Linked DNA regions of Xenopus tropicalis. The protein of the gene in region 4 purifies or fractionates together with the protein of the main gene of each other region. This does not show direct contact. Links are inferred from orthologs where the notes say so. Each region holds a gene or a part of one and is shown on either strand. Other genes may lie near its edges. The genes, in order: myo9a, ecsit, ppp2cb, ppp2r2b, sertad4, ppp2ca and ier5.

The links.
Region 1: the proteins of ppp2r2b (region 4) and myo9a purify together in Homo sapiens (affinity purification with mass spectrometry; 4 studies listed by BioGRID and IntAct, with this or other methods). This does not show direct contact. The link is inferred for Xenopus tropicalis from reciprocal best matches to the Homo sapiens genes PPP2R2B and MYO9A.
Region 2: the proteins of ppp2r2b (region 4) and ecsit purify together in Homo sapiens (affinity purification with mass spectrometry; 3 studies listed by BioGRID and IntAct, with this or other methods). This does not show direct contact. The link is inferred for Xenopus tropicalis from reciprocal best matches to the Homo sapiens genes PPP2R2B and ECSIT.
Region 3: the proteins of ppp2r2b (region 4) and ppp2cb purify together in Homo sapiens (affinity purification with mass spectrometry; 5 studies listed by BioGRID and IntAct, with this or other methods). This does not show direct contact. The link is inferred for Xenopus tropicalis from reciprocal best matches to the Homo sapiens genes PPP2R2B and PPP2CB.
Region 5: the proteins of ppp2r2b (region 4) and sertad4 purify together in Homo sapiens (co-immunoprecipitation; 3 studies listed by BioGRID and IntAct, with this or other methods). This does not show direct contact. The link is inferred for Xenopus tropicalis from reciprocal best matches to the Homo sapiens genes PPP2R2B and SERTAD4.
Region 6: the proteins of ppp2r2b (region 4) and ppp2ca purify together in Homo sapiens (affinity purification with mass spectrometry; 4 studies listed by BioGRID and IntAct, with this or other methods). This does not show direct contact. The link is inferred for Xenopus tropicalis from reciprocal best matches to the Homo sapiens genes PPP2R2B and PPP2CA.
Region 7: the proteins of ppp2r2b (region 4) and ier5 purify together in Homo sapiens (affinity purification with mass spectrometry; 4 studies listed by BioGRID and IntAct, with this or other methods). This does not show direct contact. The link is inferred for Xenopus tropicalis from reciprocal best matches to the Homo sapiens genes PPP2R2B and IER5.

The regions. Positions count from the first base shown.
Region 1 is NC_030679.2:92,035,261-92,039,353, reverse strand, and holds the start of myo9a (unconventional myosin-IXa), read left to right. Parts: upstream 1-1,244; 5' UTR 1,245-1,882; intron 1,883-4,093. UniProt on the Homo sapiens protein: Myosins are actin-based motor molecules with ATPase activity. Unconventional myosins serve in intracellular movements. Regulates Rho by stimulating it's GTPase activity in neurons.
Region 2 is NC_030679.2:139,307,498-139,311,721, reverse strand, and holds the start of ecsit (evolutionarily conserved signaling intermediate in Toll pathway, mitochondrial precursor), read left to right. Parts: upstream 1-1,415; 5' UTR 1,416-1,428; intron 1,429-2,555; 5' UTR 2,556-2,573; coding exon 2,574-2,672; intron 2,673-3,359; coding exon 3,360-3,732; intron 3,733-4,224.
Region 3 is NC_030677.2:97,482,164-97,486,387, reverse strand, and holds the start of ppp2cb (serine/threonine-protein phosphatase 2A catalytic subunit beta isoform), read left to right. Parts: upstream 1-1,314; 5' UTR 1,315-1,521; coding exon 1,522-1,623; intron 1,624-4,224.
Region 4 is NC_030679.2:40,230,871-40,234,999, forward strand, and holds the start of ppp2r2b (serine/threonine-protein phosphatase 2A 55 kDa regulatory subunit B beta isoform), read right to left. Parts: upstream 2,900-4,129; 5' UTR 2,468-2,899; coding exon 2,377-2,467; intron 1-2,376. UniProt on the Homo sapiens protein: The B regulatory subunit might modulate substrate selectivity and catalytic activity, and might also direct the localization of the catalytic enzyme to a particular subcellular compartment.
Region 5 is NC_030681.2:15,444,132-15,448,335, reverse strand, and holds the start of sertad4 (SERTA domain-containing protein 4), read right to left. Parts: upstream 2,830-4,204; 5' UTR 1,976-2,829; intron 1-1,975.
Region 6 is NC_030679.2:26,543,020-26,547,310, forward strand, and holds the start of ppp2ca (serine/threonine-protein phosphatase 2A catalytic subunit alpha isoform), read left to right. Parts: upstream 1-1,438; 5' UTR 1,439-1,736; coding exon 1,737-1,838; intron 1,839-4,291. UniProt on the Homo sapiens protein: Catalytic subunit of protein phosphatase 2A (PP2A), a serine/threonine phosphatase involved in the regulation of a wide variety of enzymes, signal transduction pathways, and cellular events.
Region 7 is NC_030680.2:100,835,088-100,839,368, forward strand, and holds ier5 (immediate early response gene 5 protein), read right to left. Parts: upstream 2,903-4,281; 5' UTR 2,795-2,902; coding exon 1,919-2,794; 3' UTR 408-1,918; downstream 1-407. UniProt on the Homo sapiens protein: Plays a role as a transcription factor. Mediates positive transcriptional regulation of several chaperone genes during the heat shock response in a HSF1-dependent manner. Mediates negative transcriptional regulation of CDC25B expression.

The DNA.
Region 1 (4,093 bases), about 52 Mb from region 4:
GTTTTCACATTTGATTTAATTTCATACAACTAAATACTGCTTCACTAAAAACCTAACTAAAAACACCACAGTACTCAGATGTTCTTGGGAAACGAAAGGCACACCACTGTTATTGTTTTTGTTAAAAGTGGAGTAAATTATTATGCAGGCTGAGAGGGGTTCCCAAACTTTTTCATATGACTGTATATCACTACCCACTAACTACAAACATGCCGCATGGGTAAATTCTATCACCAATTCCTGGAAATTTTTTCTGTGGGCAAAACCACAAATTTTGCCACATAACTGTACTGAGCAAAATAACTCACTCCTACATACATACTTATCACTAGTGCCCAAGGTAAAGGCGCTCATACATATACTGATATTATTATTGTACAGTGAATTAACTAGGCAACAGATATCGGCAAAAGCCTTGGCTATCACTCGTTTTGTTGATCGGCCAGGGTGTAAAGGTTCCAAACACTGGCAGTAGGTTAATGCTGAATATTCAGATAGGGGTAGCATTCTATTGCTTCTACCTGCATAATTGAGTTACATTTTAGTATGATATAGAGAGAGCAGTTCTGAGATTATTTTATTATTGGAGGTTTTTTAATTATTTTACTTTTTATTCCTCAGCTCTTCAGTTTGGAATTTCAGCAGCTATCTGGTTGCTGGGGTCCAATTTACCTTAGGAACCAGGGAGTGAGAGAGAGAGAGAGAGAGAGAGTGACTGATATAGGAACAGTAGAGGGGCTGAAGAGAAAGGTAAGTAAGAAAAAGTAACAATAAAATTGTAGCCTCACTGAGAAATTGTTTTTTGGCTGCCGGGGTCAGTGATCCCCATATTAAAGCTGGAAAGAGGCAAAAGAAGGCAGCAAATAATTCAGAAAACTATAAAAGATAAAAAAATAAAGAACAATTGAAATGTTGCTTAGAATTTGCAATTCTTTAACATATTAAAAGTTAACTCAAAAGTGAACTACCCCTCTAATGTTAGCCTCAGACTAGTTGCTCCATAGCACAAACATAGGTATATGGGTGGAGGTAAAGGAAGGATTATCAAAGTAAGTATGTGAAGGCCAGACAAGAATTAGACCCCTGCCCAAGGATTTGCAGGGGTTCACAGACCCCCTGACCCCACTGCTCATTCTTTGCCTTATTATACACCATAAGGCTACATCTTGTGCATTGGGAGCTTAATTGTGGCAGCTGCTCTGAAATCATTAAGGCCTCTGCTTTCCATTTGCCGCATTTCTCATCCCGCAATGAGGATCTTGTGTGTGTGCCCAGAGGATGTGGCTCTGCAGAAGGCGGCATGTGGGTACCTTGCCTGTCTCTCACCCTAATCTAATAGATGTACGGGGCCCTCTCTAAGCCCAGTCTGTCTCTCCCAAGCAGTTCTGTCTCTTTCTGTAGTAAATCTCTGTGTCTCTCTCCCTTGAACACGCCTGTCTGGGCTGCTCCCTCCCCCCTCCTGTCTCTCTCTCTCCACCCTGCAGTCACATCCTGCAGTCTCTGCCTCTCCATCTGCTGTCTTGTGGGCTCTCTTCCTGCTGGGAATTACAGCGATCTGTACGGAATCTCTCCGGCCCCGGCCCGTGTGAGCTGTCATTGCCCCTGAGCCAGGATTGTACATCGGGCTATCTCTCCGCTGCTGCCTCACGTCACCGGATTTATCAACCTGACTGGCGATTTCCTAGCTAATTTCTGCCGATTTTCAGCTCCAAGGCCTAAATGTGACTGTCCCGGGTTTCTGTACGTGTCCTTTCTGGATCTGTAGCTGGAACTGTGTCTTGGACCTTCATGCCGAGTCTTGGGCACTGAGCTGTCTCTTGCGGTCTCTGGATGTCTCTCACTGTTGTCAGAAGGCCTGAAATCGCCGGGGGCCGAGATAAGGGTAAGTGACACTTCGGAGCTCCATAGAACACTTCCTAGTTTAAACCGCGGCCCTCCAGCTTCTCTTTAACTAAGATCCTGGTTATCGGCTGTATGGGGATGCTGGGAGTTTTAGTCCAAAGCAAGTGTGGAGTCGCAGGATATTATCCCACTGACATACACCCTGTATATAAGCACACACTAAGCTCAGCTAGTCAGGGCAGAGGGGTGCAGTTGTACTGTGGACCCCAAGATCAGTGTTTATTACGGTAGGTGAGTGGTGCCCATCATGTGCCATTAGTCCTTTATAGCCCAGGTAATGTAGCCTTACTTCATGGCCTTGCTGTGCCTGTATAGAGACAGTGGGCTTACTCCCATCAAATATGACATTCTAGACAGAGTTCTGCAGCATACTCTTTCTCTACACTTACACTTTTCTGGGACCCTCTTCCTTCTTGTTATATAGGCCAGTATGGGTAAACCCTGACCTTCCAGCTATTGTTTAATGTAACATTAAACAATGTGACATTTTCCAAGAAGACAACTGAGAGTTGTAGTCCAACCACCACTGGGCAGGCCATATTGGATCACACTATTTGTTTCTGAAGACCAGATGCCCATCTTCTCCCTCCCCACACCTACTATGCCCCGACAGCTGCGAAAGAACCATTGTGACCTGTTGTCTGTCATTCATGGGACACTGGGGGTTTGCAGGGACATTAAGTAATGAGTAATGATGCTGTCAGTATTCTCGGTATTTGTGGTATGTCTGTAAGTATTTTGGATATGTAAGATACTGTGAGAATGCAACAAGAGCGAATGTGTGTATAAAATCCCTGTAAAAGTCATTAGGCTCATCCATTTAATGCTTTATTTGCTCTAGTTTCCCATAGCTCCAAGCACTGCTGATTCTTACATTTCCTTACATATCACATACAAATCAATCAATTTGAATATCTGTACAAAAGATCTGATTTATGTGGTGTCACATAACATCCATTGCAGTGTATAGATTGTCTCAGTTTAAAGCTTACTTTTTACGCCCTCTATTCACAGACTGCTCTATGGCCATATATTTGAATGCTTAAACATTCTTTGCTGTAATGTTTCCACCTTGTCTCTTATCTCTTTTACAACTGCGCTGTTTTGGTCCACTAGCTCTTTGAAGGTTATTTCTCTGTTCAGTCTCCTAACAACCTAATGTTACTTTACATAGGAGTGGACAAAATGCTAAATAGTTAGGAGCCAACCAGTCTATTCTAGTAGCCAAACACAATGTTAGCAGGAGTCTGTTAAATAGTGTAAGTCCATGAACCTTATGTGTTCATTGAACGCAATGTTAATGCTAGAGGAGCAAGGGTTGTATTGTTGGCTGCTTTGACTGTGGTACATTGTATGTCACGCCAATGCCACCTTATTGCTTTTGTAGCTATATATATATTATACAGGTAAAGGATCTGTTAGCCTGAATGCTTGGGGCCTGGGGTTTTTCCTGTAAAGGTATTTTTTCCCACAATTAGAATCACTATTTCTCAAGTCTATTAAAAAAATAAATAAAAATAAACATGAAATAAACTGAAATTGGTGTTTTGCAATTGTTATGGATTTATGCAGCTTATTTACCATCAAGTTTCAGGTACTGTATTAATATTGTTACACAGGAAAAGACGGTTCTTACCTTTCCTTTAAGGAGTGGCCCTGCCTATAACATAAACTGCATATCCACTTAGCTGTAGTTTCTGTTCATCCATTCAGTTATCCACGTAATTTCTCATACAGTATGTCTAAATGTAAATTAGATCTGTGCAGCTTTCTTTCTATGTGTATCCATAATCTAAGTTACAGCATTCTGATTCCCGGAAGCTTGGGTTTGATTCATTTGGCTTCTCTTTCTGACCTTGGACAGTTACTTAGTCTTCCCACTCCTTAAGCCTCAGGTTAGATTCAATCTACAGTGCAGGGAATCCTGGAACCTAAATATCTATGTGTACTATTGCTGTATATCAGTGATCCCCAACCAGTGGTTCGTGAGCAACATGGCTTGGAGGCAAGTTTTGGTTGCATAAAACCCAGTGTAAAGCTAAACAGAGCTTTCTATAAGCTGACAGTCCACATAGGGGCTACCAAATAGTCAATTATAGCTCTTATTTGCACCCCCAGGAACTTTTTTTATGCTTGTGTTGCTCCCAAACACTTTTTCCGTTTGATTGTGGCTCATGGGTATAAAAGGTTG
Region 2 (4,224 bases), about 99 Mb from region 4:
TGAGAGATACTGACAGGAGGGAGTGTGAGTGACAGTGAGGGATACTGACAGGAGGGAGTGTGAGTGACAGGAGGGAGTGTGAGTGACAGTGAGAGATACTGACAGGAGGGAGTGTGAGTGACAGTGAGGCATACTGACAGGAAGGAGTGTGAGTGACAGTGAGAGATACTGACAGGAGGGAGTGTGAGTGACAGTGAGAGATACTGACAGGAGGGAGTGTGAGTGACAGTGAGGGATACTGACAGGAGGGAGTGTGAGTGACAGTGAGAGATACTGACAGGAGGGAGTGTGAGTGACAGTGAGAGATACTGACAGGAGGGAGTGTGAGTGACAGGAGGGAGTGTGAGTGACAGTGAGAGATACTGACAGGAGGGAGTGTGAGTGACAGTGAGGGATACTGACAGGAGGGAGTGTGAGTGACAGGAGGGAGTGTGAGTGACAGGAGGGAGTGTGAGTGACAGGAGGGAGTGTGAGTGACAGTGAGAGATACTGACAGGAGGGAGTGTGAGTGACAGTGAGGGATACTGACAGGAGGGAGTGTGAGTGACAGTGAGGGATACTGACAGGAGGGAGTGTGAGTGACAGTGAGGGATACTGACAGGAGGGAGTGTGAGTGACAGGAGGGAGTGTGAGTGACAGTGAGAGATACTGACAGGAGGGAGTGTGAGTGACAGTGAGGGATACTGACAGGAGGGAGTGTGAGTGACAGTGATGGATACTGACAGGAGGGAGTGTGAGTGACAGTGAGAGATACTGACAGGAGGGAGTGTGAGTGACAGTGAGAGATACTGACAGGAGGGAGTGTGAGTGACAGTGAGGGATACTGACAGGAGGGAGTGTGAGTGACAGTGAGGGATACTGACAGGAGGGAGTGTGAGTGACAGTGAGAGATACTGACAGGAGGGAGTGTGAGTGACAGTGAGAGATACTGACAGGAGGGAGTGTGAGTGACAGTGAGAGATACTGACAGGAGGGAGTGTGAGTGACAGGAGGGAGTGTGAGTGACAGTGAGAGATACTGAAAGGAGGGAGTGTGAGTGACAGTGAGGGATACTGACAGGAGGGAGTGTGAGTGACAGGAGGGAGTGTGAGTGACAGGAGGGAGTGTGAGTGACAGTGAGGGATACTGACAGGAGGGAGTGTGAGTGACAGGAGGGAGTGTGAGTGACAGGAGGGAGTGTGAGTGACAGTGAGGGATACTGACAGGAGGGAGTGTGAGTGACAGTGAGGGAGTGAGTAAGGGAATACATGGGGGACAGCAGCTGGAGAGTGTAAGAGGATGAAGAGTGAAGACAACACGTTACAGTGCCCGGAACCATCTCACTCAGTCTTCTGTTCCCGCCCGGCTCGGAAGGCAGGCTCCTTGACGTCACTCAATTCCTCCAAGATGGCGGCGCCCAGTCGGCTGCAGTGACACTGAAGCTTGTAGGTAGGTGTATATATGTCGGTATGTATGTAGGAATACCGGGATAAGTGTTTGTGGTGTACTGCTCAGTGAGCGGAGCCCTCCAGCTACAGCCATACAAGGCGCCCCGGTGCCCCTGCCCATACACACAGGCCCACTGGCTGAGCGGTACCGTACTGCCGGACCGTATAGTACAGATCCCCGTACTGCCAGCTGGGGTTAGTAGTGAACAAATATATTTCTGTAATTGGAAATGAATTATGACCCGGGTGCATTTATAAAGAATAATGAATATATTTCGAAAGCATAAATACAATAATATAAATGTCTGTGCCCATCTCCCACCTATAGCCTGTGCCCATCTCCCACCTATAGCCTGTGCCCATCTCCCACCTATAGCCTGTGCCCATCTCCCACCTATAGCCTGTGCCCATCTCCCACCTATAGCCTGTGCCCATCTCCCACCTATAGCCTGTGCCCATCTCCCACCTATAGCCTGTGCCCATCTCCCACCTATAGCCTGTGCCCATCTCCCACCTATAGCCTGTGCCCATCTCCCACCTATAGCCTGTGCCCATCTCCCACCTATAGCCTGTGCCCATCTCCCACCTATAGCCTGTGCCCATCTCCCACCTATAGCCTGTGCCCATCTCCCACCTATAGCCTGTGCCCATCTCCCACCTATAGCCTGTGCCCATCTCCCACCTATAGCCTGTGCCCATCTCCCACCTATAGCCTGTGCCCATCTCCCACCTATAGCCTGTGCCCATCTCCCACCTATAGCCTGTGCCCATCTCCCACCTATAGCCTGTGCCCATCTCCCACCTATAGCCTGTGCCCATCTCCCACCTATAGCCTGTGCCCATCTCCCACCTATAGCCTGTGCCCATCTCCCACCTATAGCCTGTGCCCATCTCCCACCTATAGCCTGTGCCCATCTCCCACCTATAGCCTGTGCCCATCTCCCACCTATAGCCTGTGCCAGTCTGGCTCTGTCTCCTACCAACCATGTGATTGCCCTGAGCACTAGGAACCCACATGGGCGGCACCACTGGTACAACTGTAGGGGCATGGCTGGCCTTTGGGGTGCACCATAAAGAAGGAGGGGTGCCAGGGTGTCCATTATATATTTATTTATTTATTTTATGAAGCAGCATCAAGCCGTCAGGATGAGAACCTTGCGCTTCCTGATTTCTGCCCGTCATCTGTGTGCCCGGGGCAGAGGCATACCAGCAGGCCAGGCTCTTGGCACCGGCAATAACGCCCAGGTAAGCGCAGCGCCGACACGTTTCCACTTATACGTGGAATATTCCATTCTCTCCTGTCCCCTCTCATAGTCAGACTTTCCCTTTAATCTCGGGCGTGTACCCTCCTTCAGTTACAGACAGGGCACACTGGCTACCTAGTGGGCAACAATTTAGAGAAATGGAGGGCACTCCTGGCTAGAATATCCTTGCCAGGAGTTATTATATATACAAAAAATAAGTATAAAGTATCCAGGTGCTAGGGTTTTAATAATCCCCCCATAAGAGGACTATACACATCCACAAAAACCCTGCACACCAGAATAAACTTTCCCAGGGAGGTATTTATAATTAAAAAAAACATTTTATTCATTTAAACAAAGGCGTTTGAGCGGAAACGTTGGGGTATTCTCTCATCCAGATTATCTGCCTTCATATCTTGTTTTTCAGTTATTACACTGGGGGTATGTATTTATTTGCTTTTTGATGGATATACAATTTTTAAGGTTGATACTTTTTTCTGTATCATGTTTAAATGAATAAAATGTTTTTTTTTAATTATAAATACCTCCCTGGGGAAGTTTTTTCTGGTGTGCAGGGTTTTTGTGGGGTTTTGTACCTAGTGGGCAACCACTGCATATTGTCACCTGAGTAATAGAACTTCCCTGGAAGCTTAATCAGAAATGTTATCCTGTGCATGTCGTCTTCCAGAAACAGGTGACCTGCTGTCTTCACACATCTCCGCCTCCTGGGCCTCCCCAAGCCACTTCCTCAGCCGGCTCGGTTACTCCATACGAGGATGTGTTCCAGAGGGAGCAGAGGAACAAAGCCTCCTTTGTGGAGGTCCTTGATCTTTACTGCAACCGAGATGTGAGGAGGAGAGGACATGTGGAGATCATAGAGGCGGCTCTTAGATGGATGACGGAGTTTGGGGTGGAAAAGGACTTGGAGGTTTATAATAAATTGCTTGACGTGTTTCCCAAGGAGGTCTTTGTCCCCCAAAATTACATCCAGAGGATGTTCAACCACTACCCACGCCAGCAGGAGTGCGCCATAAGGGTGCTAGAGCAGATGGAGAATTACGGTAAAGAGCCTACTACTTACTACACTACTTACTATGGGCCAAGGAGGGGGCTATGGGACATGGAGTCTGTCCCTCCCACTGCAGGGTGATACAGTGACACAGACAGGAGGGGGCTATGGGACACGGAGTCTGTCCCTCCCACTGCAGGGTGATACAGTGACACAGACAGGAGGGAGCTATGGGACATGGAGTCTGTCCCTCCCGCTGCAGGGTGATACAGTGACACAGACAGGAGGGGGCTATGGGACATGTCTGCCCCTCCCACTGCAGGGTGATACAGTGACACAGACAGGAGGGAGCTATGGAACACGGAGTCTGTCCCTCCCACTGCAGGGTGATACAGTGACACAGACAGGAGGGGGCTATGGGACACTGAGTCTGTCCCTCCCACTGCAGGGTGATACAGTGACACAGACAGGAGGGAGCTATGGGACATGGAGTCTGTCCCTCCCGCTGCAGGGTGATACAGTGACACAGACAGGAGGGGGCTAT
Region 3 (4,224 bases), on a different chromosome or scaffold from region 4:
AACAGTTCAGTTAGTTTGTGAGCACACAGGATAGCTTCAAATGCAAACTAACTAAACAGTATGTCCCATATACACCCCTTGAAGTCACTGATTGGTTACTGACTGCTAACAGCTTAAAGAAGAAGGAAAGGCTAAGTCACTTGGGGGTGCCAAAATGTTAGGCACCCCCAAGTGACTTAGATCGCTTACCTTCTACCCCGGGCTGGTGCCCCTGTATGGAGAAAACAGCACCAGCCCGGGGTAGCAGCGAGCGATTCCTCCCTCGCTGCGCAGTAGAGTGAAAAGCCGAACTTTAACAGAGAAGTCGGCTTTTTCACTCTACTGCGCAAGCGCCGGACTCTGAGTCCAGGGGAAAGGGAGGCGGAAGGGGGAAGTGCATTGCCCCAGGTGCCCTGGGCTGGTGCAGTTTTCTCCTAACAGGGGCACCAGCCAGGGGTACGAGGTAAGCGATTCAAGCCACTTGGGGGTGCCTAACATTTTAGCACCCCCAAGTGACTTAGCCTTTCCTTCCCCTTTAAAGAGCTGTGTTCTGGCCATTATATCAGACATCTGCCCACTCCAGTATGTATAGATTACATTTTGCCTAACTATATTGCAAACATTTTTTATTTTGGGCAGTCTCTTTTACCCAGTTCCACTTTTACACAGAACCGCTGCTCACTATGCGAATGTGTCCCCCAACACTAAACTATTCAACTCCTAAAATTATCAGAGGCAGATATTTTGCACCCCTGGTACCATGAAAAACACCTTTACAAAACGCATTATAATATTAGACAGCTTTATATTATAAGGAAATCGAGCTATATTTATGCATCTATGTCAAGTTGCATGTACACGTACCGCAACTATACGTTTCCAGTTTTATAGCAATGGGGTGTCAAACACGAACACATCTGCCTTTCCGCTGTCACTTTCACTATACTCTACTCCACCCGTTTCTACCCACAACAACCCAAATAAAGATCATTGAGAAAAAAAAAAAACGAAAAAAAACTTTTTCTGCAGGTGGGGGCTTCCTTGCGCATGCGCGCATCCCTCCGCCTCTCAGTCTGACGTTGCGTGTCTCCGTGCACGCTTCTGTAGTTTACGGGCGCGGGCACGCTCTGTCGCTGTGCAGGTTATGCCTTGTGTCGCGCATGTACATTTCAGTCTGCCATTCGTTGTCTCTGTGCGTTTTATCAGCTCCACCCCCTCTCGGCGCGCTCCCGCAAGTACGGGGGTGAAATTGAATGAGGAGGAGGAAAGCTACAACGACATAGTCGCGTTTCGGCCTCCTCCTTTTGACAGGCAATACCTTAACATAAGCCTTATTAATACGTGAATATTTCCGTCCGGTCATCACCGGCCGTAGCCTCGCACGAAGTTGGGGGGTGGGAGGCGTAGGCCGTGCTAGTGAATGTGTGACAGGAGAGGGGGCAGAGAGGAGGGGTAGCAGACCGATCGGCACAGTGCGGAATTTCGTGTATGTTTGTAGCGTGTGTTACCGTGGAATAGTGTGGTTGTCTGGAAGTTTCTGGCATGGAGGACAAGACGTTTACTAAAGAACTGGACCAGTGGATCGAGCAGCTCAATGACTGCAAGCAACTCAACGAGAGCCAAGTGCGCACCCTGTGCGAGAAGGTGAGACCGGCCCTGTGCAGCAACGTCTGTAAACACTCAGCCCCACATACATAGGTGTATAGCACTCCCAGCATGATACCGTCATGATCTCGTAGGGGGAATACATGCTACGCACAGAAACATACACACGCCTGTAAGGGGCCTCGCTTGTTCATACAGGCACGTCCACACAGCAAATAAACATACATCAGGGGATTTACTGTGTAGGATTCTGATCTTGAAAATTGTATTTAGTTCCCTTTTGATTGGCAGCTGTTGGTTCCAGTTTCTAAGACCCCCTGCTTATTTGAATGTATTAGTGTATGTATTTATATCTTTATTTAGCAAGCACTACTTATGTGCGCAGCGCTGTACAGTAGAATACATTAATACAAACAGGGGGTTATTAAGATAATAATAGATAAGTTTAAAGTATAACAATAAATACAAGATACAATTGCAATAAGTTAAGGGTCAAAGAGACAAAAGGATGGAGGTCTCTGCCCCGTAGAGCTTACAATAGTGGCATTAGTATTCATTTATTTTCAGAATACAATTTGACATGTGGAATTATCTTAAAATGTTCCTTTAACATATATGTGTATTGTAGCTAATTACTATTCAGAGTGAGATTTTATAATTTGATGGGTGCCTTGAACACAGCCAGTGTTCCTTTCTCAGGGATTTATTTTCTAAATTAAACGGGCAACAATGTACCCCTATCATCTTTGCTAATAATCATAGGGTTGGCAGAGTGCATTGATGTGACTTTATGATGTAATAACAGGCACAAAGTTTGCTAAAGCATCTTTAAATCCATAACATTTAATCAACTGTTTGCTCTCAAACAGCAGATTACAAAATACAAACAGATGGATTGCAAAAACTGGAGGAAACTTTTCACCTGTAATGCAAGTGTTTCCTTGTAGGGAAAATCACTACAGTTAAGTGATTCTTGCAGCTAAATGCTGTTTAAGGACTACAGCACACAGAGCTACTTGTAGCGGCTACAAAGCCCCAGAAAATACTTTGCCATAGACAGTACTGAGAACCATCTTTGCTAAAACACACGTAGAGACAATTATCAGTACTATTTTGTAGCTGGTGCAATTAGCTCCATGTGTCATTGCACTAAAGGTACAAATATAAAGTTAATTTTTGATGAGTACCTTTCTTTAATCCTTTGAGAGCTTGATACTTATGATGTAGCCAGACTGTTTTCAGTAAACACGTGTCACCTCTCTTAATACTGTTGAATACTTGTGGTGACAGGTGGACCTATGCGCAAAGCTTTTGCTTGAGTGTATTGGGCCAGTGTGTCTCTGTTACCTCTTCATGTCCATCTGATATGGCACTTTATGTTCAGTAGTAACATTATGGGTGATAGGACTATGGCCTTTTCTTTACGCGTTGTGTGCCATTAATCTAAGCATATTTTCATTTACCTATCTTTTTTTTTTTAAATAGCTTTTGATTTATCAGAATCCTTATTTTATTCCCCCAGCCTTCAACTGAAAATACTGTTTGGTTGTCAGGGTTTCCTGATCCTGACAACCATTAAACTGATTGACTGACTGTAAGTCCTCAGATGTGTTGCTGTTTTTATTTTCATTGCACATCATTCTAATGGGACACTTTACTGTTCATCTTCATTTTGAGTTTCTCTTTTGTGTCTGGTTGTTAGGCCAATTAAGTCCTACCATCCTCATATCAGTTGAAATTCCAAGCTGCCAAGAAAAAAAAAAGAAGGCTGATTAATAATTGTTATAGAATGCTACCATCTATACCATATGTGGAACTAATTTTAGGATGAACTACTCCTTTAAGTTTGGGTTCTTTAATGGTGCTGTGCTACAGTTAACAGCATCGTTCAACATAAAATCAAGCATCCAGACATAATGGGAAATGAAATGTGTGTCCATCTAAGGAAATAGGACTATAGTACTTCACAACATACAATAATAACTATATCTAACTGTATATATAACTAGGCTAAATGTAAAATAAACCAAACAGTAAAACTTTGAAGGGTAAGGTCAGCTAAAAGAAGCCATACATCCTCCACTGTAAATTAAATTTACAGTGGCCTTTCACTTTAGTAATAAATAGCGCATGACTTTTGAGCACCTTTTAATCCATTTCACCCTAACTTTTCTGTTTGTTAACTCTCAATTTCCTTTGCTGAAGAAGGTAATATTTTATTTATTTTACTCCCCCTTTTAAAGAAGAAAATAAATAAAGCCCTAACTCATTACAGCTAGAAATACTTTATTTTATAAACCAATCATACAGTAGAAGCCCTACAATAGTAATGACCCATTCTTTCAAAGTTGTCCACAGCAGCTCATAAATTTTGATCACTAGACCACTTTGTGCTTGCCAGTGACTCGCCACAGGCTAATTTTTCATGTCATTAAAATTATTGAACAGAAAGTGATATTACATTTATTATAGAAGCTGAAGCTACTGGGATGATCATTTGCGATCCAAAATGCACTGGTTAGTGTGAGGTGATGTAATGTGATTTTGACTTCATTACTATTGTTTTTTGAACTTTTACATTATATTCACACTGTATATTATGAGTTAGCCCCTAAGCTCACATAACTGATAGCAGCCCAA
Region 4 (4,129 bases):
GCAACTACCTACGACTATTTTGATGTGATCACTACTTTTTCCTCACTTGCTGAAAAAGATGGTGGGAGGCCTATGTGAAGAAATATTCCTTGGCACCAGTGTCATTGGTAACCTTCAGATGTCACTAGACAACTTTTCTCTGCACTCCCGACTGCCTTTGGCTAGTGGCAAGATCCAGAAAATAGCATTTCAATGATAGGGTTACGATTTGCCTATCTTTGGTCTACATAACTAAACATTACTGGAGACATTTGAATATTTCCACCTTTAGGAGTAATTGAAGCCTAAGGGCTCTGGCACACGGGGAGATTAGTCGCCCGCGACAAAACTCCCTGTTCGCGGGCGACTAATCTCCCCAAGTTGCCGCCAGTTGCCATCCCACCGGCGACAATGTAAGTCGCCAGTAGGATGGCACACGCGGCGGCGCGATTTCGGGAAATCGCCAAAAAAGCCTCGCGAGGCAACTTTGCCGATTTCCCGAAATCGTGCCGCCGCGTGTGCCATCCCACCGGCGACTTACATTGTCGCCGGTGGGATGGCAACTGGCGGCAACTGCGGGAGATTAGTCGCCCGCGAACAGGGAGTTTTGTCGCGGGCGACTAATCTCCCCGTGTGCCAGAGCCCTAAAAAGTGCCTGAGGTCCCTGGGCTCCTGCAGCTGTAGCCCAAATGGTAGTTCTGCCCATGGCTCACTTAGGTTAGCTTCTGTCTCATTAAAAGTTTATATGAACAATAAAATAAAGCTCTCATATTATGTATTTTAAGATTAAAGAGATATTTTAATATTTTTAGTGCCATCTAGTTAGACTAAGCACAGGTTTTCAAGCCCCATGCATGTAAACTGTTAGTAAAGATTTGGGTTAGAGGAATGCATCATAAATCTTGGCACCAGGAGAACTTTGTAATCATTTCTGAACAGTATTCATTTACAGCACATTTTCAACCAAGACTTACAGCTGTAATGCAGAAAGCAATAGCTCCTGTTTCTGAAAAATGCTTTGCTTGGTTAATCCAGCCAAGTGTTTTAACCTTATTCATAATTTGACCATTGGGGAGTGGGGGGGGGACCACTGTTTGAAGCCTTTAGAAATAAACCAATTTGCCTCAAACAAACATGAAGTATGTTAGCTACCACCCATATTAAAACAAATGTGGGTATACAAGACTCTTTGTACAGAATAATCTATACCCAGACATAGAACTAAACATTTCTAGAAATAAACTGAAGACTATATGTTAAAGGATTTGCTATAAAGAAAAGTATATAATAAACAGTACCTTGTACTTAATGGCAACTAAGCTGCATGAATCCAAATCTGGGACAAAAAAATCCTATAGGGTGTATGTAATGTTTAAATTAATTTCAGCAGGTTTAAGATATGCAGAACTAAACCCCAGGTCCCAGTCATACTGAATAATAGATCCTATACCTGTTTTTATTTACCCTTTACAGCAGTGTAGAAAATAGAACGATACAAACACTGGTCACAATTACAAATAACTGAACACTAAAAATGTTTCATGTGTGTTTGGAAAATCCTTAGAAAGCTTTATTATGCAAAAAAAATTAAACGTATGTGAAATTCCCCACTAAATGTGTAGAATTTATCGATATGTATGTTAGTCTTACAGGTACAGGTTAGTCTGCATTATATATAATCTGTTAAGGGCTCACTATAAAACATTATTCCCATGTTGCATGGCTAATCATTACATATGCCTGATTCACACTGCACTGATTTTTAAGACCTAATTACAAACAGAGCTGGACTGGGCTGATGTGACACTGGGAAAAAAACCCGGTGGGCCCTGGCTTCCCCTCCAAACACAGATCCACTTCCCTCTGATCTCCCCTCCAGATCTCTGCTGCATCAGGGACTACAATGTACACACAATGGAGGGAGGGGGGTTTGTGCCATTGCATATTTCTTTGGAGGTCTTGACAATGACCACACAACTGGGGTGGGGGGACTGAGGTGGCAGCCCTGGTGGGATCAAGACCTCCCCAGTCCGACTGATATTAAGTACAGGACAGCCAAATATTCAGTGCACCAACACAGCTATTTATAAAGAGATGTTGGCATAAATTGTATTCACATGACCACCTTTTAAGTGGTACAGCCACTTAATGGTACAGAACAGAGGTAATATACAGCCGGAAGCCTGACCAGCTCTATAGCTGCTTAAAGCAGGAGTTATAGAAAATTCAGTTCACCACAACACTGTCTACATTTAGTTTCATGAATAAATAAAGTTGTGTAGGCCAGCAAGAAAAAATGTCATATAAAGAATAAAACCAATTTGGCAACCTGTAGTTACCCAATGTGCCATAAAAAGGACCAGTCACATGGGCCACGCAAAGAAGATGGCTACTTACCTGAACTCTTTCTCTGCCTGCGTGTGTACTTTCCATTGCAATGGCGGGCCTCTTCAGAAAACACAATAGATTCCTGCAGTTCAGGGATCATAACACTGTACCTGGTGTTGCAAGATCCCACACTGTCTTCTATAGAACAGGGCATTTATTAAATGGATATCTGTGTTAAACAGCAAAAACCTCAGGACAGCAAGATGCTGCTCAATAAATATATATGCCTTGCGGGGGCAAAGTCATTAATCTTTAAATTCCTGGTGTGTAAAACTGGATTTTTCACCCCAATGCAGCTGAAGTTTGCTTGGAACAGTTTAGTCTCAGGTATTTATCAAACTATGGCTGCATATAATATGCTGTTAGCAACACTCTAAGAAAATCACAGTGTGCAACTTCATAACACCAGTTTACTGATCTCACTGCAGTAGGGTGGGTAGGCCACAGTTGTGGCCACTGATTGGACCAATCTATGCCAAAGAATGGGAGTATCTGAAATTTGATTTGCTAGTAGTCATGAATTTAACTATCATCATAGGAAAATGCTTACTACAGGTTTCTGCTAAAATCTGTGTAGCCCAACATTGAATATATTCCTTTCAATGTCCCCTTTACATGGGGCATGTATAAGAAATTCAACCAATCAGCAGCTAGCAGGGGTATTGCCCTGATGGTGTACAGGGATATGCTGAATCATATGCAGTCCCACCTTAAGGTTATTACTCTTATTCCTCTAAAAATAGGTGTGCAGTATGCTTAAGGCCCTCAACCCGCACACAAAGAACAATTCCTCTTAAGGTGGCACTGTATTAAAGGGATATGCTGTGGGGAGTATGCCTACATCTGAAAAACCCTAAACCAAGTATAAACTTTATTCTGAGCTGTCACTCACAGCAACTGCTAAGAACATTTCTTTCATTAGTCTTTATGCAGCTGACCAATCAGTACTAATTACGGACTGATTGCTATGGGTTTAGCCTCTAAATTTAAATGACTCCAGTTTTGTGGTTTAATCCTGTTGCTCTGGATTCTGGGAGTAGGGGCTAAACTCCACGGGAGATTTTGTGGGTCAGATTTAATCTGATCTTGTCATGCAACACCACGCAAACCACAAAATCTGATCTCCATAGGCTGTAGTGTAAAGTTGGATCAGATAAAGTCAGATGGTATGTTTTGTTCCTGCATCTACATCCGACACACAATGTATTTTAATGAGAAAAAAAGTCTGTCAGACACATCAGATTTTATTGGATGAAGACGCAGAATGCAGAATTCCCTTCTGACAGGCACGTCATGTTGGATGGCAAATCTTTCATGTAGTTTACACATCAGATTTTTCTATTACTCCCCTTCTTTTGATCTGACACCATACAAAACCTCTTGTGGAGTTTAGGATTCTGACACAGGCACATCCAAATTGTGCTTCCCTTGCATCCAGCACTTACCTGCGCCTGTGTTAGTTCAGACCCACTAAAAAAAATGGGATGCGTTTCTTCCTGTGACTCTCTGCGGTGGAGCACAGGAGAACGCCATCTGAGAAAGCAACGCTCACGAGTACGAGCCTTCAATGACAAATTCACAACTGTTTGAATGCCATTTTTTCTTTTTTTTTTAATTTATGCCAGAAATGTTTTTCTGTATTGCAGTAAATAAGGTCAATATGGCAAAAAAACACTCCTGGTTAAGTTAAGATTCAAATTTCCATTTTTTTAAAAACAGAAATTTGTTCTACACTAGCGATGTGCCCCCAGACCCCCTCCAG
Region 5 (4,204 bases), on a different chromosome or scaffold from region 4:
TCCGTGCCCCTGCCCCATCCAGCCCTCCGTGCCCCTGCCCTATCCAGCCCTCTGTGCCCCTGCCCCATCCAGACCTCCGTGCCCCATCCAGCCCTCCGTGCCCCTGCCCAATCCAGCCCTCCGTGCCCCTGCCCCATCCAGCCCTCCGTGCCCCTGCCCCATCCAGCCCTCCGTGCCCCTGCCCCATCCAGACCTCCGTGCCCCTGCCCCATCCAGACCTCCGTGCCCCATACAGCCCTCCGTGCCCCATACAGCCCTCCGTGCCCCATACAGCCCTCCGTGCCCTATCCAGCCCTCCGTGCCCCATCCAGACCTCCGTGCCCCATACAGCCCTCCGTGCCCCATACAGCCCTCCGTGCCCCATACAGCCCTCCGTGCCCTATCCAGCCCTCCGTGCCCCATCCAGACCTCCGTGCCCCATACAGCCCTCCGTGCCCCATACAGCCCTCCGTGCCCCATACAGCCCTCCGTGCCCCATACAGCCCTCCGTGCCCTATCCAGACCTCCGTGCCCCATACAGCCCTCCGTGCCCCATACAGCCCTCCGTGCCCTATCCAGCCCTCCGTGCCCCATACAGCCCTCCGTGCCCCATACAGCCCTCCGTGCCCCATACAGCCCTCCGTGCCCCATACAGCCCTCCGTGCCCCAAACAGCCCTCCGTGCCCCATACAGCCCTCCGTGCCCCATACAGCCCTCCGTGCCCCATACAGCCCTCCGTGCCCCATCCAGACCTCCGTGCCCCATACAGCTCTCCGTGCCCCATACAGCCCTCCGTGCCCCATACAGCTCTCCGTGCCCCATACAGCCCTCCGTACCCCATACAGCCCTCCGTACCCCATACAGCCCTCCGTGCCCCATCCAGACCTCCGTGCCCCATACAGCCCTCCGTACCCCAGCCAGCCCTGCGTGCCCCATACAGCCCTCCATGCCCCTGACCCATCCAGCCCTCCGTGCCCCATCCAGCCCTCTGTGCCCCATACAGCCCTCTGTGCCCGACCCACAGTGACCCCGCTGGCAGCGCACGTACATTCTTGCTGGGAACAGACTGAAACTGTCTGTTTGCCCGCGGCTGTTTTCTGACCTGATCTCACAGGCACAGACATGATCCCCTGCTGCTACAGTCATATGGTTCCCTTAACAGACAATTACTATTCCAAACAGCAGCCAGATCCCCAAGAAGCTGCGCGTAACCCCTTCACTGCCTGCTGACACTCTCTGTGGCACCCTAGTGCCTTGGCCTGTGCCGGGGGGGGGTACACTGGGCACAAGTACAGGGGGCACAGACTGGCACTGCCAGTATTTACAAAGACACCAAGTGCCCAAAACCTCATAGGGTGTATAATAAGTTTCTGTGGGTGCCCTGTGCCCGGCTGGGGGTTACAGGATACAACTACACATTATTGGGCCCCACAGATATACCACTGTAGGGCCCCAAGTCACACAAACTGCTTCTGTCAGTCCCGCGCTGGGCACCCTATACCTTCTGGACACCCAAGAGTCTCCTTGCTCTTTAGTTGCACCCCAATAATACGTTGTTTGCCCAACATATTGACCCCCCCCCAAAACAAAACTTCCTGGGGGGGGTTTATGAGATTGTGCCAAATCTATACCAGACTTTCCCCACAGTAATGTGTGTTTGATCAGCCTGTACCATTCCAATGCGTTCCTACTCCCAGAATCCCCTGAGAGCCCCATTGGGCCCTTACAGAACCCTCAATACAGTATTAGGGGCCCCACTAGGGAAATAGATTGGCACTAAGTTTTATAATAAGGGCACATTGGGGCATAACCCTGGGGCATGAGGGGCAACTTTTTTTCTAAACCACAAACAGGGGCAATATAAGTCAATGGCCAAGGTGCGCCCATCCCTTGCACCCACATCGCTAGTTCTACAGCGGCTTGGGGGGGGGGAGAGGTGCCCCCACATGTGTACATATAACCATGTAAAGCCCAACTCCCCAATAAATGCCCCTACCTTGCGCCTTACTCCCGGTACTGCGTCCCGCAGGGTCACCGCGCCAGCTAGGAGACAAGTCGCCGCACAGTCGCAACACAGGTTGACAGCGATTCCGCGGCAGTGTCGCTGTACAGGATAGCAGAGGTGCGATTCCCGGGCAGTGTCGCTGTATAGGTTAGCAGATGTGCGATTCCAGGGCAGTGTCGCTGTACAGGAGAGCAGAGGTGCGATTCCCGGGCAGTGTCGCTGTATAGGATAGCAGAGGTGCGATTCCCGGGCAGTGTCGCTGTATAGGATAGCAGAGGTGCGATTCCCGGGCAGTGTCGCTGTATAGGATAGCAGAGGTGCGATTCCCGGGCAGTGTCGCTGTATAGGTTAGCAGATGTGCGATTCCAGGGCAGTGTCGCTGTACAGGAGAGCAGAGGTGCGATTCCCGGGCAGTGTCGCTGTATAGGATAGCAGAGGTGCGATTCCCGGGCAGTGTCGCTGTATAGGATAGCAGAGGTGCGATTCCCGGGCAGTGTCGCTGTATAGGATAGCAGAGGTGCGATTCCCGGGCAGTGTCGCTGTATAGGTTAGCAGATGTGCGATTCCAGGGCAGTGTCGCTGTACAGGAGAGCAGAGGTGCGATTCCCGGGCAGTGTCGCTGTACAGAGGTTCCCGGGCTGCTGTAGCGGAGTAAGGCAGAGGTTCCCCCGGCTCAGAGCTGCTCGGAGAGGCTCCCAACAGGCAGGGAGAGTGCGGGGCTGAGAGCGAAACCGGTCCGTCCTGTTCTACATTTCCCTCCGGATCGCACAGGAGACTCGCCAGCCTGCCCCGGGGGTGAGGGAGGGAATGTGACAAGCGCCTGTCTGCGCTCCCTCTCTGCCCCCTCCCACCGGCCCTGCGACTCCAACTGCCCGCTGCGACTCCGGCTGGCCGCGACTCCTGCTGCTGCACTGCTTAAAGGGACAGCACTCTGACCAGTCCTGCAATTGGGGTCACACTGTATGGTATAAACATATATATGTGTGTGTGCCTGTGTATATTTATACATATAGTATATGGTTAGATAGATAGATAGATAGATAGATAGATAGATAGATAGATAGATGATAGATAGATAGATAGATAGATAGATAGACAGACAGACAGACAGACAGATAGATAGTTGATAGATAGATAGTTGATTGATAGATAGATAGATAGATAGATAGATAGTTGATAGATAGATAGATAGATAGATAGATAGATAGATAGATAGTTGATAGATAGATAGATAGTTGATAGATAGATAGATAGATAGATAGATAGATAGATAGATAGATAGTTGATGATAGATAGATAGATAGATAGTTGATGATAGATAGATAGATAGATAGATAGATAGATAGATAGATGATAGATAGATAGTTGATAGATAGATAGATAGATAGATAGATAGATAGTTGATGATAGATAGATAGATAGATAGATAGATAGATAGATAGATAGTTGATGATAGATAGATAGATAGATGATAGATTGATTGACAGAATATATAGATGATAGATAGATTAGATAGTTGATAGATAAATAGATAGATAGATAGATAGATAGTTGATAGATAGATAGATAGTTGATAGATAGATAGATAGATAGATAGATAGATAGATAGATAGTTGATGATAGATAGATAGATAGATAGATAGATAGATGATAGATAGATAGATAGTTGATAGATAGATAGATAGATAGATAGATAGTTGATGATAGATAGATAGATAGATAGTTGATGATAGATAGATAGATAGATAGATAGATAGATGATAGATTGATTGACAGAATATATAGATGATAGATAGATTAGATAGTTGATAGATAAATAGATAGATAGATAGATAGATAGATAAATAGATAGTTGATAGATAGATAAATAGATAGATGGATAAATAGATAGATAGATGATAGATAGATAGATAGATAGATAGATAGATAGTTGATAGATAGATAGTTAAGATAGATGATAGATAGATAGATAGATAGATAGATAGATAGATAGATAAATAGATAAGATAGATAGTTGATAGATAGATTGACAGAATATATAGATAATAGATTAACAGGATAGATGATAGATAGATAGATAGATAGATAGATAGATAGATGATAGATAGACAGATAGATAGATAGATAGATAGATAGATAGATAGATAGATAAGATAGATAGTTGATAGATAGATTGACAGAATATATAGATAATAGATTAACAGGATAGATGATAGATAG
Region 6 (4,291 bases), about 14 Mb from region 4:
TATTTGCCCATATTTACCTATTTTGAGTTCATCTGAATGTAAACTTTTTAAAAATGTTTTTTCTCTGGTAAGTTTACTGACCCAGGCATTTTTGTCTTGCAATCTAGTATGCTGATTTCTGGTGCTTTGAAAATTCACTTTACTGTAGGTCAGTGGTTCTCAACCTGTGGGTCGGGACTATTTCACAGGGGTCGCCAAGACCATCGGAAAACACACATTTCAAATGGTCCTAGGAATAATTTTATGGTTGGGGGTCACCACAACATGAGGAACTGTATGAAAGGGTCGCGGCATTAGGAAGCTTGAGAATCATTGGTGTAGTAGATGTTTAACACATACACATAAGGAAACCCCATAAAACTATACACACTCTAGTCAGGTTACCACCTTACTGGTATTTTACCGTAAAATACCCTACACTGTGTCGATATCAGGCTTTCCAAATGAGTTGTATTATTTTTACTTGCAAAATAGGTTTGATTCCTCTAGATATGAAATTATTAGTCAATTAACAACGCAACGCTTTGTTTGCAGATTTGGAAGAAAGAAACGCTTTAATTGTATAGAGCAGGGGTAGGGAACCTACGGCTCGGGAGCCAGATGTGGCTCTTGATGGCTGCATCTGGCTCCCTGCCAAATCTTTAATAAAAAAAAATAATGTGGAGCGTGGCCTGCGCTTAGCGGATAGAAGACATGTTCTATGCCTTAGAACACATCTTCTATCCGCCAAGCGCAGGCCACGCCCTCCTCCGCGTCCGGCATCCTTACCAGGTTGCACTTGAACCAGGGCCCAGGGAACGGAGAGGGACATTGGAGCAGAAACCTGTCACGCTTGAATTGAAAATAAAATGTGACCAGTATGTCTCTGTTGGGGCTACAAAGAGAAGCCAACTGTGCACTGTGCTAGGTAGCCCTCTAGTTATACCACTAACAAGCCATATTGAACAGCTAAAGATGACACCCACCCTACCTTGCCCCACAGCATCCGCGGCCTTCGGCCTAGCTCCCGTTGGCCATTGTATGGCTCTCACGGAATTACATTTTAAAATATGTGGTGTTTATGGCTCTCTCAGTCAATAAGGTTCCCGACCCCTGGTATAGAGACCTAAGAATATGATTATAATATATAATAATTAAATCAATAGCTATTGCTTCGATTTTGTCTGTGTGTGTCACTGGGCCTGCAATAAACCATCCACCCTCCAGGCTTTTCTCTCAATGACTGCACTTGAGCGCTATCATTTATCGCCACGCCCATGCGACTAGACTCGGATCCATAAGGGCGTGGGGATGAGCGCAGCTTCCGATGACATCTCTAGGAAGTGACGTACGGCGAAGAAGCAAAGGAACTGGCTGAGGAGGAGGTGTGGAGCCATAAAGGAGAGGTTCGTGACGTCACGGCGGCCATTATACTGTACAGTACACTCTGAGAAAGAAGGAGCCGTAGCTGCAAAATTACAGCGGACTGTCTGATAACGTTATTTCTTTATTACCTCTACTAGCTCTGTACCTCTTACGAGGCGCTTTGAAGCCCTCTGGACTGTGTCCGTTTAGATACTGTCGCCTGAGATCCCGGCACTCCCCTGGGTTCCGTATTTTATTCAACTGACGGTCCCCACCCCTGCCAGCAGCGGTCGACTTGTTGGTTTTCTGACGCCATTCATTGGCTCTTGGTCCCTCCGAGGGCATACCCGGTGACTGCCTCCCTAGGCCGCCGGTCTTTTCCTTAGACAGCCATGGATGAAAAGGCGTTCACGAAGGAGTTGGATCAGTGGATCGAGCAGCTGAATGAGTGCAAGCAGCTATCGGAGAACCAGGTCAAGACTCTGTGCGAGAAGGTACGGGTGGCGCAATGGCAACTTTAAATAGACTGCTGGTAGCAGCCGTGATTATTTTAGAACTATACATATATATTAGCCTGCTGTGGAGCTACAGCCATCAATAGTAGTAGGTAGTTCCTAACGTCATATCGGTTTGTGGGCAGTAACATGGAGCGCACGTAGGTCTTGCGGGGGAGATCATTATTCCGTATTGGGGAACGCATTATTCCGTATGGAGGCCGTATCTTTCGCTATTACGGGTTGCTATACACTTTATACAACATGTAGGCTGGTTGGTAGACACATGAAACGTACTATATATGTCTATCGCCCTAATATATGTGGGAAGGCGTGTTACGGACACCGGGGGGCTAGCGTACAGGGGCTATAGTATCTGTAGTGTTTGCTGTACAGCAGCGCCCATGTGTGAGCTGCACTCGGCACGTCCCACTCCCGGCGAGAGGCTCTGTGGGCGCAGGCTCGGGCTGCTAAGCTCATGGCGCCTTTTGTCGTTCATAAGATGGCGGCTGCTCCACCCCCCGCAGGAATGCGCATGCACGCCAGGACGTGTCACTACTAGTGCGCGCCTCGGCCGGCGGCGCGCTCCCATTTGCTTGGAATGTTACAGGGAATGCAGGGGTCATGGGGATTCTTGGTACAGTGAACGTTGTGCTTTACGGCTCCTTGTAGTAAAGTAAGGCCATATTCTGCCAGAACCACGGGCTAACGTAATCCTGATCTATGGCTTGTTGGGAAAATGTGTTGGTGGAGATGCCACAGTCCAAAAGAGTGGTGGGAATTCCTTGTGTGCTGCTGTATAGGTTGGCCAGCCACTGAGCTAGGTAACATTCATTTGAACATCTCTCATTAAAATGAATAGATGCAGAGCTTTCTATTTATAATCACATATAAGTGGCAGTACAATAAATAGGTATATATATCAAACATGCAGATTTACATACAAAGCAGCCAATCACTGACACAAGAGGTAAAGAGGGCCCTGCCCAATAGAGCTTGCAATCTAAAAGGAGTTCACAGGGTTGGCGGTGGTATGCTTTTTGATGTTTTTCTATTTACGCCCAGGGATTATAAGAATGATGTTGTCCCTTGTGGTCCCTCCTGATGTAGCTAGCTGCGGTTAGTACCAGATTCAGCTGATGTTGGGCCGCAGGACAGTGATTGAGTACATTGGCCAATATTGTGGTGCAATCATGCTCCAGTGTGTTTTCCATGGCCATAGTTGTAGCTAGCTGCATCTAATAGGGCGGGCCACACAGTTACTCACTCTGGTAAATTATGTACAAGGTATGGCAACTTTGCCAAGAATCTCCGAAGCTCATGTAAAACGTGCAATTTTATGAAAACAGCACTGCTAGGAAGTGCATACAAATATTTTAGAATTGTTCAGAAATCTATAAATAAAAGTCAATTTTCTTAGTGCCAGGACTATAAACTTAAGGCTGAAGTGTCTATCAAAGGATTCTTAAAGTTTGATTCTGCTCCTATGAGCCTTTTTTGAGCTCACATTCATTTTCTGCTCTATGCCAGCCATTTTTAAGGCTGTACAAGAAGCGGGTTGTTCATGTGGGCCTTTCAGCTGTTGCTTAAGTAGAAAAATGCAGCCAAACCAATTGGTGTTACAGCTGGGATACAGAGAGGCTACTTATAGGCATGCTGTGAGAAATCCATTGTTAGCTGGCCAATAACCTGTGATTGCTTTTTGCCGGCATGGTCCATTTGGTACTAGGGATGCACAGTATTGGCAAAGGGACAGAGAAGCTCAAAGTAGACCCTTTCTGTGGAGAAGTGTGGCTTATTGACTGTATGGGCAGTGCTGCTTTTACCTCCATCAGCTTAATTAAATCCCCCTCTGTCCAAAAGTCATGTCTATTCGCAGATTTACAACAGTGTTGTGTAGTGTGCAGAAAGATCTGCCTGCCTGGGATGTACAATGCAGCTGCATTGCTTAGAGAAGTCTCTACCACTGCACCACGGGAAAGGCAATAATAAGTGTTTGTCACTGTTTTCCACATAAAGCAATCTTTTCTTTTCTCATCACGTGACGGTTATTCAAGCAAATGTAGCTGCAACTCTTTCTTTTTCAAGCCTTCTCTAGCTAAAAACTGACAGACTATGCATAGTACATGGATATGGGGCAGGATTAATGGGCCTCCATACTCGCAATTCCTTAATTAAAAGGATATCTTCATGTAAGAAACTTTACTATGAAATATAAAATAACTATAAACCGCTTTCAAATATACATAAATTGCAGCTTTTAGTGGTTTTATTTTTTTTTAACTGCAATTGTTATTAAATTTAAATATAGTTTCTCTTTCATTGTCTGCATGAATGGATACACATGCTTCTCCATTACATTTACAAGTAACTTTAAAATATAAAACGGTGGTTTTAATAAATAAGCAACTAGGACGATAAAGCGTCATAAGGGCAGAGGCCAAATTAATGAT
Region 7 (4,281 bases), on a different chromosome or scaffold from region 4:
TGAGCTCAGCTACCATTGAAAAAAAATGTCTTGCAAGCCCCAGTTTCTGGGCAAACCACCATTGGTAATAAGGTGACCAACCCTGAAGTATGAGCAACAAAACACAGCTGCAATTGCCCTGTATTAATTGCTTATGATTTAACACAAATAAAACTGTGTGTAGCCATTGTACCACCACAATTATATTTAACCAGTTTAGATCCATGGCACATTGCTCATTTACCAACATGGCATTAAAAAACACAGCTACTGCAAAGTATTTTAGCTTGGTCTAATCTCAAACAAGTAGATTGCAGAGGTGTTTCAGATTTAGCAAAAGATCAGTAGCACTTTGACCCCAAGCCCACCAATTGGAACTCATATATTTCAAGCAGTTCATGTTTTAAAAATAATGAGAGATGTTCTGAAACGTTTCAAAATATTTAATACGTGTCAGACACGTAGAAACATCATAGTATACAGAAGTCAGTTACAGCATTGTGCATAAAAATACTGTAAACCATTGTTTAAATCACATCCAGCCAGAATAACTCATCTTCTAAAACAAAGAGAGATCTGACTGAGCACGCAGGGCTGGATTGAGCACAGGAGCACCAAGCCTGACAAGCACTTTCAGCAGACAAAATACACGTAAAGGGTTTTTCCTTCCTCCTCAGTAAGTTTACAAAGATACATCAGTCATTTCTCCATGCTTAAAGAATATAAAGTCAAAGGATGGTGGGCGGCTTGATGAGGGTAGCACCATGAACTGTGTGTGCTCAAAACTAAAAAGTGAATAAGACACTTTTACATGTTATGGATTGTAAAGTGTTAGAAAACCAATTATGCAAGGCTCTAGGAAAATGCTTGCTTATGAACTCAAACAAGTGACAAAAAACTAAATTAATCAAAGAGTGTGGGTGTGTGTGGTTATATGGGGGCCAAACAAGCAGTTTGAACACTGATTTGGCATTTGCCTCAAGTCAGGACATGAAACAGGAAGCAGTAGTTTTGAAATGACTGGAGGGGCTATATAACACAATAGGTAGGAAAAGAGCAGTGTGAACAGATGGGAACTTCCCTCCCTCTCCCCAAGTGGGGAACTCCCCTAGCACGTGGTGACCATAGTGGTGGGGGTTGGGAGACATTCTTTTCGAAGTGGGGGAGGGGCTGTTTAAGGACTGGTGAATAATGCCCCAGGGAAATACCACCCCCAATTGAAAAAAAAAGCTTACAGTGAAACAGCAAACGATTCATTGAATTAGTGTTGATCAAATTCTTGACCTTAATGTACCTCCGGTGCTAGGTGGGACTTGTCACACCCCTAATCTTCCCACGAGATCCAGTTATCTGAAAGTAATTCAACTTACAGAAACAGAAAATCATGGTTATCCCAGGAGTGCCCCAAGTCCCTGGTGAGATGGTTCATACAGTGTGTCTTCTGGTAATGAATAGGTTAAGTAAACTGTACACGTGGCACCCCTTTAAGCTAGGGATCTTCAACCAGAGAAAAAAAATAAGCTGTTGTGGACTACAACTCCCAGCCTCTCTAGAAAGCCAATGCTAAAAGTTGTAGTTCAACAGAAGCTGGAGAAGTGCTGGTTGTAAGATCTCTACTCTAAGTGCTTTACCAACATAGCAAACTTCGCCCACCAATCCACACACAAAACTAGGCAGATGTAGGAAGAAAGGCATCCAGACATATGAGGACATGGGTAACACAAATCCTTACTGGAGGTCAGTCCAACCCTGCACCATCACGATCCATTCTATATAAAACAATCCATATAGTGTGCTCTGTGCCAGCAGTGTCAGTTCAGTCTATACAGGAGATCCCAGCCTGCGCCCCCCCAGCTCTTGCTGAACCACACACCACCACTAGTTTGCTTAGTGCACGAAGTGGGGGGCCGCAGGCTGAACGCTCCCGTTATGGGATGGCTCAAAAGGCTTCGATTGCCGTGCTCCAGGAGGTCATACTCGGGCTGATCGCCCTTTCACTGCATCCCTGTCCGGCTGGGCCCGCAGAGTCCAACTCCTGCACGTCCTGTGTGGGCTCCTCGGCCCCCTCTGCCCCAGGCTCCTTGCTCAGAAGTCCCGAGAAACTGGAGCCGAAGATGCTGATGAGGTTTGCCACGTTCTCTGTCTCCATCTGTTCCTCCGCCTCGTCCCCTGGCTCTGGCACCTCCTGCTCTCCTTGCTCCCTCTTAGCTCGCTTCATGGCCGGCCCATCGGGCGGGTTCCCTCCGCTTCTCTTCCGACAGCAACTACTCGGGGGATCCGGGCTGCTGGGCTCTGGCTCACGGCTCGGGCAGTGATCTGCTTTATGCTGGGACGCGGAGTGGGCTCGGCAGTTTTCAGTCCCATGTCCCTGGCAACAGGGCACCCCACGGGGGTTCGCTGTGTCGTCTGGGCTGCAAGAGTGGCTTGCTGTGGGGCAGGTACATGTCCGGGCATCTGTCTGCTCAGGGCTCACCATACTGGGGCACTGAGCGTCCCCTGTACATGAATATGGCTCAGGCTCCTTGCAGTCCTGCTGTGGCGGCGGCGGATTATGGAGCGGTGCCTGCCTCTGGTAATACTCCTGCTGTAACTCCTCCGGGCTTTGGCTCAGATAGACCTGCTGGGCGCTGCGGAGTACCAGGGACACCATCAGGTTCTTGTGCAGTTTGATGCCACCGCGCTGCACCCGGGAATGGTAGATCTTTCCCAGCGAGATACTCACGATGCGGTGAGCTTCAAGGCGAAAGCCGAACCCGGGTGAAGTTTCCACATTCCCAGGATCGTGTTGCTGCTGCTCTGGTGCTTCCCGGTGCATTTTCAAAAATGCAGGATTCCTGCTTTTTCTCCGCTTCGTCACAAATGTGCCAACCTGCCGGTTTCCCTTGAGGGCGGTTAAATTGGGAACACAAAGCTGCGTGACCCACCCGTCCCAAAAACCAACTGCAACTAAGCGCGGGCGCGCTCCCACAGTCTCCTTATATACGACTTACGTCATACTCCCATTAGCCAATCAGGCGGTCCCAATGAGCCGTCTCCAACACAGATCTTGGCTGTCTAGCATTTTGTGCGACACATGAAAAACTACCAATTGGCGAGCACAGCATTAACCGCCTGGATTCGAAAGGCTACCCGCGTAGAATCTCCTTAAAGCGGCATTGCCTTGTTAGCGTTTACGTCCCTAGACTGTGTCTTAATTAGTATTTGCCGTGGCTGCTATAAGCACATATAAAGTATCCCGATTTATTATCGCGATCTGACGATTAGTAGTTTCATACTGAGGTACTGAAGTGTATATAGTCACAGGAGCGCTAAAGTATGCTATGATGGAGGCATTGCCCCTTTAACGCAGGCAGTGTTTTGGTGGCGGCTCCCAGGCTGATGTAATGCTTCTGTAAGTGTTCAGGCTCAGTCACGTGATGGGCTGTGAGGTCGAATGCTGGCTGCTTTGAGTCTGCCTCCCCCACCATTACTATTCCAGCTTGTAGCTTGTCGGTTTTCCAGCAGTCTTACGGGTAGTTGCAGTTTTGCGGGAGCTGCGGAAAGGAGTCATATATGTTTTATAGTTGGTTCGTACCAAACACCCGTGAGAGCAAGGCTAGCCGGTCCTGTGATTTCTTTGACTTGCCAGTGACCATGCCAGTTACAGTGGGATTTGGGGTGAACGTCCAGCCTAAAGGTCAGATAGGGTGAGGAAACACTTATTTGCTGATATTATTTACCTGGTTCTGATATTATTACATTTTTATATACCTGTGACATTGACATAGAATTAGGGGGGGGTGGTTTGAGGTCAAATGGGGGCATGGGCATCTACATTACCTTGGCAGCTCTGAGCCAATTATTTGGGATATTGCAGGCCTTTAGTCTTCAAGGCCACACTCGCTGTTTCTTTGCAGTGACTGGTAAGTGTCAGCTGATAATGCACATCATTCTCTGCATTAAAGGCCACCAGTGTGATATTTGCGATAAAGCCTTTATTTAAAACGTTCAGTCTTTCAGATGCTTAAAATTTCCACCCCAATACAGGATTCTATGATCTAATTTGACAAAAAGGCTAAAAAGGGACATTGTTGGCTGACAGGTTAGAGAAATGAATGTGAAACTGTAATTATAAAGAAAGTCAAAATAACTTGAACATTTGAATATTTTAGTTCTTTACAAAAAAGGATTCATTCAAGTTTAATGTTTACAATTATGCAGCATTCACACACCTTCCCCCAGAGCTTAATAATTCTACAACTGCATTGTGTCACTTGCTTCCTGAATTTGAAATCTTCTAGGTCTGCTCCTACAAAAGGAACA